Macaca fascicularis: one gene and its partners. The protein of the gene in region 1 interacts with the protein of each later gene in a biochemical or structural test. Links are inferred from orthologs where the notes say so. Each region holds a gene or a part of one and is shown in the gene's direction. Other genes may lie near its edges.

Region 1 (4,089 bases):
CAGTAGAACAGTAAGAAATCCTAGGGAAGGCCAGGCAGGGTGCTTCACACCTGAAACCCCAACAATTTGGGTAAACTGAGGTGGAAGGATTGCAGAGGCCAGAGGCCAGGAGTTCAAGACCAGCTTGGGCAACATAGCCAGACCCACCCGCCCCCATCTCTACATCATACAAAAATAATAAAGAAATCCTAGGTAAGGCCAGGCGGTAAGGCCAGGTGTGGTGGCTTACACCTGTAATCCCAGCACTTTGGGAGGCCAAGGTGGGTGGATCTCCTGAGGTCAGGAGTTCCAGACCAGCCTGGTCAACACAGTGAAACCTCATCTCTACTAAAAATACAAAAATTAATCGGGTGTTGTGGCAGGCACCTGTAATCTCAGCTACTTGGGAGGCTGAGGCAGGAGAATCGCTTGAACCCAAGAGGCAGAGGTTGCAGTGAGCCGAGATCAAGCCATTGCACTCCAGCCTGGGCAACAAGAACAAAACTCCGTCTCAAAAAAAAAAAAAAAAAAAAAAAAAAGGGAGAAAAAAAGAGAAAGAAATTCTAGGTAAAAGTCTGAGCCCCACTTCTCAGTCACCTGATCACCTCAACCACTGTCACCAGGTGGATGACCTTGGTAATGTCACACATTTCAAGTTCTGTAAAATGGAGAGTTATATTGCCTAAATCATATAATTTTTATGTTAAGTGACACATTCTCTAAGGCGCTAAGTTTGAGGACATACTTTGTAAATGAAATGATATATGGAGATACTGTATATGTTAATGGTTTTGTTGTTGCCATTATTATTATGACTGCTATACACGTGGTCTGGAGAAAGCCAACCTCCCCAAAGCAAAGGTTCTCCAACAGAGAACAGGCCCTCTAGGTTGCATATCAATACAGAGCCTGTTTAAGGAATGTTAGCCGGTAGTCTTTGCTAGGCCTGAGGGGTGAAATTTTTGTTTATCAAGACTCAACTGTTTTCGAAGTCTTCAGGCTTGAAGTTCTGGGGAAAATAACTAGGCACTCTGGGCGAGATCCCCAATACCAGTTTAAGGGATTTGAAATGCAAGGCCGTCTGGGACTCCACTGCCACAGGCTGGGCACCAGGCGGCGCCGGTCGGATCCGTCCCGGGACTAGCAGGGCTTTGGGCCAGTCCGGGCAGCTGGTGCTGGAGGTTCCAGAGGTCCACGCCATTGGTGGACGCAGTCTCTAGTGTCCTCTCCGCATCCCGCTTCACCGCCCCACCCCTTTCCTGCGCGAGCCTGGACTTGGAAGGCACCGGGGAGGGTGTGAGCGCCTTGGTGTGTGCCCATCTGGGTCCCCAGAAGAGCGGCGGGAACTGCGGCCGCATGGACGGTGCGGCCAGACTCCAGAGTGGAAGGGGAGGCAGCTGTTCTCCCAGGCGGCCGTGGGGGGCAGCAGAGGGGACGGCGACAGGTGCGGGAGCCCCTCCCGGGGTAGAAGTGGAAAGGCGGGCTCCGGGGTCTGTTCGCAGGCTGGAAACCACCCCCGCCCCCCATCCAAATCCCGGGAGAGGCCCGGCCGGCGCCGGGTCTGGAGGAGGAAGCGGCCGGAGACAGTGCAATTTCACGCGGCCTCTTTGGCTCGGGTTCCTGGGCTGGGTGGATGAGTTATGGGGTTTCGAGTCTGGGAGAAACTGAGGTGGCCTGGACGTGAGGCAAAAAACACCCTCCCCCTCAAAAACACACAGAGAGAAATATTCACATTCTGAGAGAAAATCCACCAAGTGAACCAACCGGCTAGGGGAGTTGAGTGATTTGGTTAATGGGCGAGGCCAAATTTCAGGAGGCTGGGCTTTGGAGCGCTTACCACTCCCTCATTCATTACCCTTCCCTGGATCTGGGGGCTTTTGGAATCTTGACCTCCCCTTGGCCCAGCTCCTGCAGAAAAATTAGGGTGAGCCCCATCTTCGATCTGCTCCGCCAAGTTGCGGGACCGCGGGGCGTGGCGCGCTCGGGGCGGGCAGTCCGAGGCTCCGCAATCCCTACTCCAGCCTCGCGCGGGAGGGGGCGCGGCCGTGACTCACCCCCTTCCCTCTGCGTTCCTCCCTCCCTCTCTCTCACACACACACACACCCCTCCCCTGCCATCCTGCCCCGGACTCCGGCTCCGGCTCCGGCTCCGATTGCAGTTTGCAACCTCCGCTGCGCCGCAGCAGCCACCAATTCGCCTGCGGTTCAGGTGGCTCTTGCCTGGATGTCCTAGTCTAGGGGCCCCCGGGCCGGACTCGGCTGGGCTCCCTTCACCCTCCGCGGAGTCATGAGGGCGAACGGCGCTCTGCAGGTGCTGGGCTTGCTTTTCAACCTGGCCCGGGGCTCCGAGGTGGGCAACTCTCAGGCAGGTAAGTGGCGCGAGAGCACTGGCGGGCTCGGCACCTGGGAGCCGGAACCCAGTGCGCGAAGCCTCTGAGGGCATGGGCAGGGTCTCAGGCGGCGCGGGGGTGTGGGTGCTGCCCCCGTACGCCGGACCACCTGGGAGTGGGGCGATCAGGCTCGGGTTATCGGCGTGGTCCGGCCGAGGGCGGCATTCTTGGACCCTCACGCCCCCTTCCCCAGAGCGTCGTCGACCCTCTAATTGGTCTCCCCAAAAGAGGCTGAGGCCGCAACAGTAGTTCACACTTCTGAGGGACCCTGCAGGGAGCGGGGCAGGGACCTTAATTCTATAAACAGGAGGTGCTTGGAGGTGGGGGCCTTGGCGGAAGGGTCTCGGTTTGCTCGCCAGCTTCCTGCCCGCCACCCCGCACCGATTTCTGCTACTCCTAGTTTCGTTGTTTTGCCGACAGGGCGGAGCTACGGAAGGTTGGAGGGGGTTGTTGTTCTCTAGTGTTGGAAAAACAGGAGCGGCACCTCCTCTTCCGTGAGTGAGCCTGCCCTGGGGAGGTCTGAGATTAACCAGAGGGCCAAGTTCAGGTGACATCAGGCGGGAGGCCCAACAGAGGCTGGCGTCCGCTTTCCTCAGAATAGCAGAGCTTGAGCAACATCTCTTTGTCAAGATCCAGGTCAACCCAACTCATATTTATTGAGCATCTACTATATACAAGGCGCTAGGCCAGGAACTGTAGGGGCAAGGATTGTCCAGCCTCTTGTCTTTTCTCTCCCCAACCGGAGGATCAAGAGGGCACCTCTACTACTTTCTAAGCCTCCTGCCTTGGGGAGTCCTACCTGGGCCCATCTTGTGCCCCCTGCCCCCATTTTGCTTATTGTCTGAGGACCCTAGACAGAGCCCTGGATTGCTCTTCTCCAGTCCTCCCCCGACTCCCATGCTATCTGAGCCCACCCCTTTGGGGTGTCTCTGGGGCCGTGGACACCTGAGGTTTGAAGTTCTGTGGATCTCCTCCCCTCCCCCCAGATTTCAGCTTGGGATTTGGCACAGCCAGGGCCCCTTCCCCAGTGTGGGAGTGGAAGAAACCACCTGTGCTTCCCCCACAGTTGCTGGGCCTAAATTTAGATCCTGGGATTTTTAGATGTGAACACTCCCAGCTGGTGGAGGGGGGTGGTCTGGGGACTGGCGTGGGAGGGAGCAGTGGGGTGACTGTATAACTGTCCCATCCAGACTCCCGCAATCTTCACCCAGAAACCCAGGAGTACCAGAGTCTGGCCACCCTCCCTGGGTAGGCAGGAGGCAGGCATGGTTGGGTCTCTTTACCCTTTATCTGGGTCCTGCAGCCTCTGGGCATCCGGCCCTGTCTCAGTCCTTCTATAGCCCCTTTGTCCTGGCTGTGATGGGGGTGGGGGATGTTGGAGGGGAGGCTTCTGGTTGAGGAGGGGCTGGAGATTCTGGCTCTATCCCACCCCTAGTGCTCTCTACCAAAGGAGTGCCTGTGCCACTGCCCCTCCTTATGCTCCCGGTCCCTGGGTACAGGAGGGATTTTTATGATTCCCTTCCCCTGCCCTGCTCCCCAAGCTGCCTAGCTCCTCCCCAGACGTGTTGTTTGTGCTCCCTTCCTGCCCAGGCCCTTTGCCCCCTGTTTGTGTAATATGGACTTTACCCTCAGGGGAGCAGGGAACTGGGCTACCTCTAACACTGTAGCCTTCCAAGCACAGACACAAAGTCTGCACAAACACATATGGGCACGTGGGATAG
Region 2 (3,584 bases), on another chromosome or scaffold:
AGCTCAGTCACCGAGGAGGAGCTCAACTTCGAGAAGGGGGAGACCATGGAGGTGATCGAGAAGCCCGAGAACGACCCCGAGTGGTGGAAATGCAAAAATGCCCGGGGCCAGGTGGGCCTCGTCCCCAAAAACTACGTGGTGGTCCTCAGTGACGGGCCTGCCCTGCACCCTGCACACGCCCCACAGATAAGCTACACCGGGCCCTCGTCCAGCGGGCGCTTCGCGGGCAGAGAGTGGTACTACGGGAACGTGACGCGGCACCAGGCCGAGTGTGCCCTCAACGAGCGGGGCGTGGAGGGCGACTTCCTCATTAGGGACAGCGAGTCCTCGGTAAGTGCGCTGCGCCCGCAGCTCTGGCTGGAGGCAGTAAATGCGCCTTGCACAGTGGCTCTGTGTGCCGCGCCCATTTCACATTGTGTGAGTACACTAGAAAGGCGAGAGATGCAGATGAATGCAATTTAGTGTAATGTTTGCTACTCCGTGATTTCCTTGCATCTGTTTTGGGGATCGTGGGTGTCCATTTCTGGAGATGGGAGGTTAACTGAAAAAATGTTTGTAGCTGACAAAGGTGGTTCTGCTTCTCTCCGAAGATTGCCCCTCTTGTATTTTACAGACTCAAACGTCATTTTCTCTCCTGGTTGCCCATTGTGTGTACGTAGAAGGCCCCAGTGATTTACTTTGTTTCCACTCGGTCTGTTTCCCAGAGAAAGCAATCTTTGCAAGACTGGTGGCGGGTTTCTGACACCGCCTTTTGTTGTTTGCTTGCTTTCTCTTTGTAAACCGTATAATCCCAAGGTCATTGCCACGGCAGGCAGCGCCACTGAGTTCATCTCTGAAAAGCTTTTAAAGCACTTACGAGATGAATTGTAAAGAAAACAAGGGTTCTTGAGAGAGATGAGTTTTGTGTGTGTGCAGTGAGTGGGAGATATGAAGCCACTGGACTGGGGCAGCAGACCCACTTCCAGGGGTGGGCAGGCTGGGGGCAGTGAGTTTCAGACGTGGGGGTGGAGCCTGCATCCCAGAAGGCAGCCTTTTCGTGTGTGAAGGAAATATTCGACCAGTTTTGCAAACGTCTTTACAAATACACCTTCTACAATCGAGAGACTTCCAAAACAAGCATTTAGGAGTTTGATGTATTTGAATTGTATTGGTTCTAGTAGGCTTCAATTTCATTTTTAAATGCACACTGTAAGACTAGTAAGTATGTACTACCTGCTGCCCCTGCTGTCCTCTGAAAAGGTTACTGGCACAATAAATAAGTGCACATTCAGGAGTCCTGTTGACTGATCAGAGAGGCATTCAAAGCCCTCCAGAGAGAGGCAAGTGGGATCTTCTCCTCTTTGAGGAAGGAGCATCGTGGTGGTGGAAACTGGACTCCTTTGTGGTGTCATCAGTTTTGCGGAGCCTTAGATGTGCTTGGACGGGAATGCCAGCCTGAAAGCTAACTTCATCTGAAATCTGAACTCTGAGATTTTCTTATCAAGTCACCAGAGTTTATCATTCCTGGCAAGACATCACATTGAATTGTTCTCACATGACGAGAGCTCTGTGCACCATTTCCTTTAGATCGGGTTTGAAGCCTTAAGCAAATTAAGGACAGCAGCGCTTTTAACTCAATCGAGCAGAAACTTAGAGAAACTGCTGGAAAACCAATTACAATATTAAGTGCTTGGTCCAGAGTCCTTAAGGGCTAAGTATAATGCACAAAATATGATCTTGGCTTAAAATGTTTGAGTTTGAAGAGACTTCTCAGAAGGAAGGCCTGCAGTGTGGAGACATTGCTCCCAGTCGTTCTTCTTTCTGCCTAAGATTTGGGGAGATGAAGAAAGACTTTAGAGAGTAGATGAAAAAGGTGTTCTCCAGGGTTGCTGGCCTTAGGGAGGACCTATGGCTTTTCTGTGGAACATGCACAGGTGGTCATTGTTGTCTGAATTCAGGGACCGGATCCCTTTGGATAAGGAGGGATGCATGCATTGGCTGGGTTTCATCTCAGAACTCTACACCCCACTGTCTCAGTTGCCTTGCATTGTTAGAGAATGAGCTCACTTTTTCAAAAGTACTAAAGCACTAATTGTTTGTATTTCCTTTTAACAATTTTTTAATTGGGGGCCTTTCAAGATGTTTTGCATTCTCTCCTAACTTAGAAAGTCAAGGAGCAACATGTATGATTCCAGGAATATAGGGTGGAAAGGGCTTTACTGGCACTTGCATCGGCTCTGCACACATAGCAGCACCGTCTTGGTCTGAGGCTCCACGTGGCCTGATGCTGTGCAGGGCAGCTTGTCCTGATGGATCTTGCCGTGACACAGGCCATTTTCAGCGGTTAGTGTGCATGCCTTGTGCCACGGGGATTCTACAAGAGCCCTGAGGTGTGTGGCTTCTTTTCTCCTGACCGCAGAACCGGGCCAGGTTTGCTGCGTTTCCTGTTCATGACCAAGGCTGTTCTCAGCTGTCATCTGTGACTGCCGGGGACCTGTCCTGGTGGACAAGTGGACAAGTCCTTTGCTTGTTTTTTTTCCCCACCATCCGCTGCCTCCCCCCATCCCCATGTGTTTCCCTGCTCATTTTGCCATTTCTCAGGTTAGAGCTGGCTTTCACAGCCACCACCAGGCCACCAAGAGCCCTTAGGTTCACGGTCTGACATAATTCCTTCACAGCATGCCGGGACGGAAAGGTTTCTGAGGGGTTCAGCCTCCCTGCAGGACTCAGAGGCAGGCATCTTCATTTAATTTCCTTTTTTCTTGGAATCTTTGGGCCTGGACCTTTCGTTGAGGTTACCACATGAAGCCTGGCTTCTGGATAAGCACAGCTGTTTCTTCTGGAATGGATCTTCAACATGCGTTTCAGTTTTTAAAATACCCTGAGTGACTGCAGTGTAAATGAGCTAGACCCTTGCTTGATGACATTGAGAGGTGCTTATTTCAGGGAGGACAAACATTGCCACATCCTGCACTATCCACTATCAGTAAGTGCTGGGTATTTCAGAAGTATCTGTTGGATATGTTAGATGAATCAGTGAACTAACAAATGAACGAACCTGTTGGGCCCTCTTTCCTGTCCTGAACGTCAGTGCCTACTGCTTGTTCTTCCCTTTCTTCTTCCTCCCTCGCTCTCCTCTCTCATCTACAATTGTCGTTTATCCTTAGCAGCTAAAGGTGATATATTGTTGGTGCTTATTCTCCATATTTCATTATCATACCTTCAGCTGTGAGCTATACCTGCTTAAATCCAGAAAACTCAGAAATCCTACTCACCCGGTGTGTGTCCCTCATAAATCCTTTTATATTTTGTCCACATTGATGCTATGGATGTGGCTAGAAAGCTGTACTTAAAATGAACAGTAACCCTTTACTGGGTTTCTGGTAAACTGTACAAGTTGTCAGTATTTTATTAATTGCTGCATCCCCCATCCTTGTAAAAGTTGTTCAGAAAGTGACAGATCACAACTAGGATATGGTTGGAAAAGGTGCACAGCTGGCCTGGGTGACTTGCTGGACAGCATCAGCCACAAGTCTGGGAAGCCATTTTCCTCTGTAAGATTTTAGATACCGAAGAGGTCATGTATTTATTGTGTCCTGCAATAA
Region 3 (3,025 bases), on another chromosome or scaffold:
GTGAGCTGAGATGGCGCTACTGTACTTCAGCCTAGGCAACAAAGCAAGAAAAATAAAACAACAACAAAAACAAACAAACAAAAATTTTGGGCTTGCAGGCCTATTGGTTACTTCTTCAAGGGCCTTTCCCCAAAAATGATATTTTAGAACGTTATGGAATTTATGAAATCAGAGGTTTCCCTGCAACTAATCTATGAAAGGCAGGGTTTAAACTGTTTTAAAACTTTAGTCTTAAATTCATATAATTTTTTTTATGTATTAAGGAAGTCTATCCATTCTATTTCAGTCTATTTTTGAAACATGAAAAGGAAGTTAGAGATGAAATCATTCCTCATCACTACAAGTGATATTTATCTTTAAATGTTGACATCTCCCTGCTGTGCTTGGCTTCCAGATAATACCTAGGACTACAAAATATTCCTTTAACCTAGAGATTATGGAGAGAAAAGATGAATCACTTTTATATGTTGGTTGAATTTGAATTAGCATTTCTCAGAGAGCTTAATTTAAGTACCCCCAAAGCCAAAAGTCTGAAGACTCAAGGCCCACGTATTTCAATTTCTCAGGCACGTTCCCGGTTTAGAGGCAGTTAGTTCTCATATCTGTATCACTGCAAATCATGGAGAAGCAGCGAGGTTCATGGGTTTTCTGTTCCTGTTAGCGAGAGTTCAGATGATGGCACTCCGTGTCATCTCAGGTCATGTCAAATTAGACTCTGTGAATGCCAGTGTGAAGAAAAGAGTCATTTAGTCTTGTGTGCTGGTAGCATTTTTTATCAAAAGCTGAGAAATGTGACTCTGAATAAGCCACGTCTTCCTCAGTGCCAAAAGTCAGGACTTCTTATATTGGGGGAAGAAAGCATGGTATGGTGAAAACAGTGTGCTTGGTGGCCTGATGGCAAGAGTCACTGAGCATTATCAGACATAACATGATAGAAGGTAACATGGTACAGCCAACCCTTGAGGCATCATGAAAGAGATTAACCAAAGACTGATATAGTTGTGGGTTTTGGAAGAGAGATAGACCAAAGATTGGACATAACCTCATTGTGGTAACTGTGAAGCCAACATTAGGCTCTCTCAGGCTTACCTTTGACTGTGTTTGTTGGACACTGGGATGGATAGTTCCAAATTGAATGTTAACTAGTTGCATTTCATGGAAAATATGAAAAGCACACAAATGTATGACACTGTTGTCAGGAATAAATCTAAGTTACTATGCTCTTTTTTTTTCATAAGACATAACCTTATAGCTGAGCTAAGGAGAAACAAGGCACACAGATCCAAATGCATGCAGATCCAGCTATCAGCAACTCATCTTAGATCTTCTTCCATTCCCCATTTGGGCTTCATTCTCTAAGACCCCTTGGCCTTTAGGAAGGTATAGTATTTAAGTAATACTTCTTTCCCTTCCGAATCCCTGAGCCTTGGTCCTTATATAAGCTGAGAGGTTTCCAGGACCTAATGCCTTCTTATCTTGGCTCATATGCCTTTATTTATAATTGTGATGAGATTGAAAATCCCAAAAGCTTTGATGAGCTAGGCAATTTAGCTGATCTTTGCATGCACTCCTGTGAGGAAACTCTTGGCTACCTAATTTTCGATTCCAAGGGTGTGGAATGTCCTAGCGTAAATAATTGAGCAGTCTACAATGAATAGAAATTCTCTGTTCTCTGATGATATACTATTGTGAACTCTGTCCCCTTACCTTCCCTGCTATGTGCCTCTTATTGCACCACACTTATGCAGGGTATTCTGTGCTCACACAGGTATGTGTCAGCCATGACCACCCCGGCTCGTATGTCACCTGTAGATTTCCACACGCCAAGCTCCCCCAAATCACCCCCTTCGGAAATGTCTCCACCCGTGTCCAGCATGACGGTGTCCATGCCTTCCATGGCGGTCAGCCCCTTCGTGGAAGAAGAGAGACCTCTACTTCTCGTGACACCACCAAGGCTGCGGGAGAAGAAGTTTGACCATCACCCTCAGCAGTTCAGCTCCTTCCATCACAACCCCGCGCATGACAGTAACAGCCTCCCCCCTAGCCCCTTGAGGATAGTGGAGGATGAGGAGTATGAAACGACCCAGGAGTACGAGCCAGCCCAAGAGCCTGTTAAGAAACTCGCCAATAGCCGGCGGGCCAAAAGAACCAAGCCCAATGGCCACATTGCTAACAGATTGGAAGTGGACGGCAACACAAGCTCCCAGAGCAGTAACTCAGAGAGCGAAACAGAAGATGAAAGAGTAGGTGAAGATACACCTTTCCTGGGCATACAGAACCCCCTGGCAGCCAGTCTTGAGGCAACACCTGCCTTCCGCCTGGCTGACAGCAGGACTAACCCAGCAGGCCGCTTCTCGACACAGGAAGAAATCCAGGCCAGGCTGTCTAGTGTAATTGCTAACCAAGACCCTATTGCTGTATAAAACCTAAATAAACACATAGATTCACCTGTAAAACTTTATTTTATATAATAAAGTATTCCACCTTAAATTAAACAATTTATTTTATTTTAGCAGTTCTGCAAATAGAAAACAGGAAAAAAAAACTTTTATAAATTAAATATATGTATGTAAAAAATGTGTTATGTGCCATATGTAGCAATTTTTTACAGTATTTCAAAACGAGAAAGATATCAATGGTGCCTTTATGTTATGTTATGTCGAGAGCAAGTTTTGTACAGTTACAGTGATTGCTTTTCCACAGTATTTCAGCAAAACCTCTCATAGATTCAGTTTTTGCTGGCTTCTTGTGCATTGCATTATGATGTTGACTGGATGTATGATTTGCAAGACTTGCAACTGTCCCTCTGTTTGCTTGTAGTAGCACCCGATCAGTATGTCTTGGGCACATCCATCCAGATACGCCTCACTTGTGTATGAAGTTTTCTTTGCTTTCAGAATATGAAATGAGTTGTGTCTACTCTGCCAGCCAAAGGTTTGCCTCATTGGGCTCTGAGATAATAGTAGATCCAACAGCATGCTACTATTAAATACAGCAAGAAACCGCATTAAGTAATGTTAAATAT
Region 4 (3,584 bases), about 55 Mb from region 1:
CCCTTTGTAATGTGAGCCCTGGGAGAGCAGTGTTCGTATGTGCTGTTCACCATGGTATCCCGGGGCCTAGCTTGGTGTCTGGCACACAGTAGGCCCTCAGTAACACCTGAAGGGAGGATGAAGGAGGGCATGGTTGGAGGCGGTAATTGTACCCAGGCCCCTGTGGCTCTGGCTATTGTGCAGCCACTACCCCTGCCCAGGGAGAGAGTCATTGGAGTGGCACCGCTGTTCATTCAGGGTGTGCTAATATCAGGGATCTGGGGCCCCGTTTTGTGCCCGAGTAGGGAGAGCTTTTCTTCTCCATCTTGAAGAACAGACGTGGACATGTGGTCGCCAGCAGGGGCCCAGGCCCAACCAGGGTCATGAAGAAGGAAGGATGGTGCCCACAGAGGTCCCAGCTGTTCTGTACCGCAGACAGCAGAGGAGTGGGGGATCTCAGTGCCATTCTGGTGATGTTGTGTCTAAGGAAAGGCCCTCTGGCCACGGGAGGAGAAGGATGCCCCAGTTGAGATGGGCAGGCAAAGGTCTGCCAGTCCTGAGGGTCCCCTGTCAGTGCAGGAAATCCCTCTGGACCCCTTGTGACTTTTGTTAATTTATTCCCTTTTATTTTTTGTTTTATATTTATTTTTGTTTTTGTTTTTGGTGTGTGATTTTTTTTTTTTCCCCAGGACAGAGGCTTGCTCTGTCATCCAGGCTGGAATGCAGTGGCATGATCTCAGCTCACTGCAACCTCTGCCTACCAGGTTCAAGTGATTCTCCTGCCTCAGCCTCCCAAGTAGCTGGGATTACAGGCACGCACCACCACACCCAGCTAATTTTTGTATGTTTAGTAGAGACAAGGTTTCACCATGTTGGCCAGGCTGGTTTCGAACTCCTGACCTCAGGTGATCTGCCCACTTCAGCCTCCCAGAGTGCTGGGATTACAGGTATGAGCTGCTGCGCCTGGCCCGTTTTATATTTATTTTATAGACACCAATAATATACTCTCATTGCAACATGGAAATAACAATAATAGCAGACAGTCTTTCTTAAGCATTTTCTATGTTCTAGGGCTTTATGTCTATCAATTCATGCTCATAATATGCCTATGAAGTAGGCATGATCATGGTTCCCCTCTTACAGATGGGGAAACTGAGGCAGAGTAGTAGTCACATAAGTCACTTAAGGTCCCATAACCAATAAGTAGTGGTTGCTGGGCTTTTTTTTTTTTTTCGAGACAAGGTCTTGCTCTGTAACCCAGGCTGGAGTGCAGTGGCACCATCTCAGCTCACTGCAACCTCCACCTCCTGGATTCAAGCATTTCTCCTGCCCCAGCCTCCTGAGTAGCGGGACTACAGGTATGCGCCACCACAGCCAGCTAATTTTTTTTATTTTCAGTAGAGATGGGGTTTCACCATGTTGGCCGGGCTGGTCTCTACCTCCTGAACTCAAGTAATCCACCCACCTGGGCCTCCCAAAGTGCTGAGATTACAGGCATGAGCCACCGCGTCTGGCTGGTGCTGGGATTTGAATCCACATTCCAGAATCTGTGTTCTTAGCCATCCTTGCTAGAGATAAGTAGTAGCAAGCTTCTTGGTTTCTTCCCCGCCATCCCTACCATCCCCACACCCCAGTTCTGATTCCTCCCCAGAAATACTCACTGTTTCAGGATGGGTTTGTTTCTGCCAGACCTTTCTTGCCCACCATTTACAAAATGTTTGTGTACACATAAACATTAGTAGTTTGGTTTTATGTATGTTCATGTAAATGGGATCGGCTAGCGTGTCTTGTTCTGCTGTTTGCTTTTTCACTTAGTGAATAGCCCTGCCCTGGAGCTCTCCCAGAGGTGGGGGGGGTGGGTCTTCCTCACCCTTTCCCCCTGCTGCAGAGTCTTCCAGCCTATAGATGGGCCAGATTCTTTCATCAGTCTCCAACTGGGGGCATTTAGGTTGTCTCTTAGAGTTTTTCCCCATTATAAATGTTGCAGCAGGAAATATGTAGCAGGGAGCAAGTATTTCTCTTGAATACTTAAAAGTGGGATTCCTAGAGCCTAATTGCTCTGGCTAGGACTGTCAGTACTGTGTTAAATAGAAGTGACCAGAGTGGGCATCCTTTTCTCATCCCTGGCCTTAAAGGAAAAGTTGTCAACTTTTCACCATTAAGTGCAGTGTTAGCTGTGTGCTTATCATGTAGGGTCTTTATTTTATTTATTTATTTGTTTTTTGAGACAGGGTATCATTCTGTTGCCTGGGCTGGAGTTCAATGGCTGATCATGGCTTACTGCAGCCCTGACTTCCTCAGGCTCCCAAGTAGTTAGGACTACAGGTGCGAGTGCTACAATGCCAACTCATTTTTGTGTTTGTCTTTTTGGAGAGATGGGCTTTTGCCATGTTGCCCAGGCTGGTCTCAAACTGGGCTCAAGCGATCTCCTGCCTCAGCCTCCCAAAGTGGTGGGATTACAGGCGTGAGCCTCCGAGCTCAGCCTTTATATAGGGTCAGTGTGTTAAGTACAACATATCATCTATGCTTAATTTGTTGAAAGTTTTTATAATAAAGTTATGTTGAATTTTGTCACATACTCTCCCTGCATCTATTGAAATGATAATACGGTTTTTGTCCTTCAAAAGCAGGATTCCAGAGTCTAGAATCAATTCTGCCAAGTTGGCCATGCCCCTTACAGAATGCCACTTGGTAGGAGAGTGTGTGTTTCCCTGCATCTTCACCAGCACTGGGTGTTATGGTCGTGTCGGATTTCTGCTGTGGTTCGCGGTGTGTGACGGGCCGTCACCTGCTTGCCCACCTGCTCACTCCTTGTCGCCCCCCCACCCACATGTCTTTCAGCCCCGCCGCACCACCTGGGTCTCCACCATGAACGGGCCTGCCCTGCAGCCCTCCTCGGCCTCCTCCCCGCCCTCGGCCTCCCCGGCGCCGGCCCCGCGGGGCTGGAGCGAGTTCTGTGAGTTGCACGCCGTGGCGGCGGCCCGGGAGCTGGCCCGCCAGTACTGGCTGTTCGCTCGCGAGCATCCGCAGCACGCGCCGCTGCGTGCGGAGCTGGTGTCGCTGCAGTTCACCGACCTCTTCCAGCGCTACTTCTGCCGGGAGGTGCGCGACGGCCGCGCGCCGGGCCGCGACTACCGGGACACAGGCCGTGGGCCCCCTGCCAAGGCTGAGGCGTCCCCGGAGCCAGGCCCCGGCCTCGCCGCCCCTGGCCTGCCCAAGGCCCGCAGCTCTGAGGAACTGGCCCCGCCGCGGCCGCCCGGGCCCTGCTCCTTCCAGCACTTTCGCCGCAGCCTCCGCCACATCTTCCGCCGCCGCTCGGCCGGGGAGCTGCCAGCGGCCCACACCGCTGCCGCCGTCGGGACCCCCGGAGAGGCTGCTGAGACCCCCGCCCGGCCCGGCCTGGCCAAGAAGCTCCTGCCCTGGAGCCTGGCTCGGGAGCCGCCACCCGAGGCGCTGAAGGAGGCGGCGCTGCGCTACAGCCTGGCCGACGAGGCCTCCATGGACAGCGGGGCGCGCTGGCAGCGTGGTAGGCTGGCGCTGCGCCGGGCGCCGGGCTCCGATGGCCCAGATGGCCCCGACCGCGTGCTGGAGCTCTTCGACCCACC

Evidence for each region. The genes of interacting proteins can lie anywhere in the genome.
Region 2: the proteins of ERBB3 (region 1) and NCK2 form a complex in vitro, tested with the Homo sapiens proteins (2 studies listed by BioGRID and IntAct, with this or other methods). The link is inferred for Macaca fascicularis from reciprocal best matches to the Homo sapiens genes ERBB3 and NCK2.
Region 3: the proteins of ERBB3 (region 1) and NRG1 form a complex in vitro, tested with the Homo sapiens proteins (8 studies listed by BioGRID and IntAct, with this or other methods). The link is inferred for Macaca fascicularis from reciprocal best matches to the Homo sapiens genes ERBB3 and NRG1.
Region 4: the proteins of ERBB3 (region 1) and SH2B3 form a complex in vitro, tested with the Homo sapiens proteins (2 studies listed by BioGRID and IntAct, with this or other methods). The link is inferred for Macaca fascicularis from reciprocal best matches to the Homo sapiens genes ERBB3 and SH2B3.

What each region holds. Positions count from the first base shown.
Region 1 is NC_088385.1:62,865,210-62,869,298, forward strand, and holds the start of ERBB3 (receptor tyrosine-protein kinase erbB-3), read left to right. Parts: upstream 1-1,234; 5' UTR 1,235-1,335; coding exon 1,336-1,423; intron 1,424-1,842; exon of another isoform or gene 1,843-1,903; intron 1,904-2,104; exon of another isoform or gene 2,105-2,265; coding exon of another isoform or gene 2,266-2,347; intron 2,348-4,089. UniProt on the Homo sapiens protein: Tyrosine-protein kinase that plays an essential role as cell surface receptor for neuregulins.
Region 2 is NC_088387.1:10,312,422-10,316,005, forward strand, and holds part of NCK2 (cytoplasmic protein NCK2), read left to right. Parts: coding exon 1-330; intron 331-3,584. UniProt on the Homo sapiens protein: Adapter protein which associates with tyrosine-phosphorylated growth factor receptors or their cellular substrates. Maintains low levels of EIF2S1 phosphorylation by promoting its dephosphorylation by PP1.
Region 3 is NC_088382.1:36,007,291-36,010,315, forward strand, and holds the end of NRG1 (pro-neuregulin-1, membrane-bound isoform), read left to right. Parts: intron 1-1,238; coding exon of another isoform or gene 1,239-1,359; exon of another isoform or gene 1,360-1,380; intron 1,381-1,768; coding exon 1,769-2,423; 3' UTR 2,424-2,490; downstream 2,491-3,025. UniProt on the Homo sapiens protein: Direct ligand for ERBB3 and ERBB4 tyrosine kinase receptors. Concomitantly recruits ERBB1 and ERBB2 coreceptors, resulting in ligand-stimulated tyrosine phosphorylation and activation of the ERBB receptors.
Region 4 is NC_088385.1:118,305,343-118,308,926, forward strand, and holds part of SH2B3 (SH2B adapter protein 3), read left to right. Parts: intron 1-2,820; 5' UTR 2,821-2,847; coding exon 2,848-3,584. UniProt on the Homo sapiens protein: Links T-cell receptor activation signal to phospholipase C-gamma-1, GRB2 and phosphatidylinositol 3-kinase.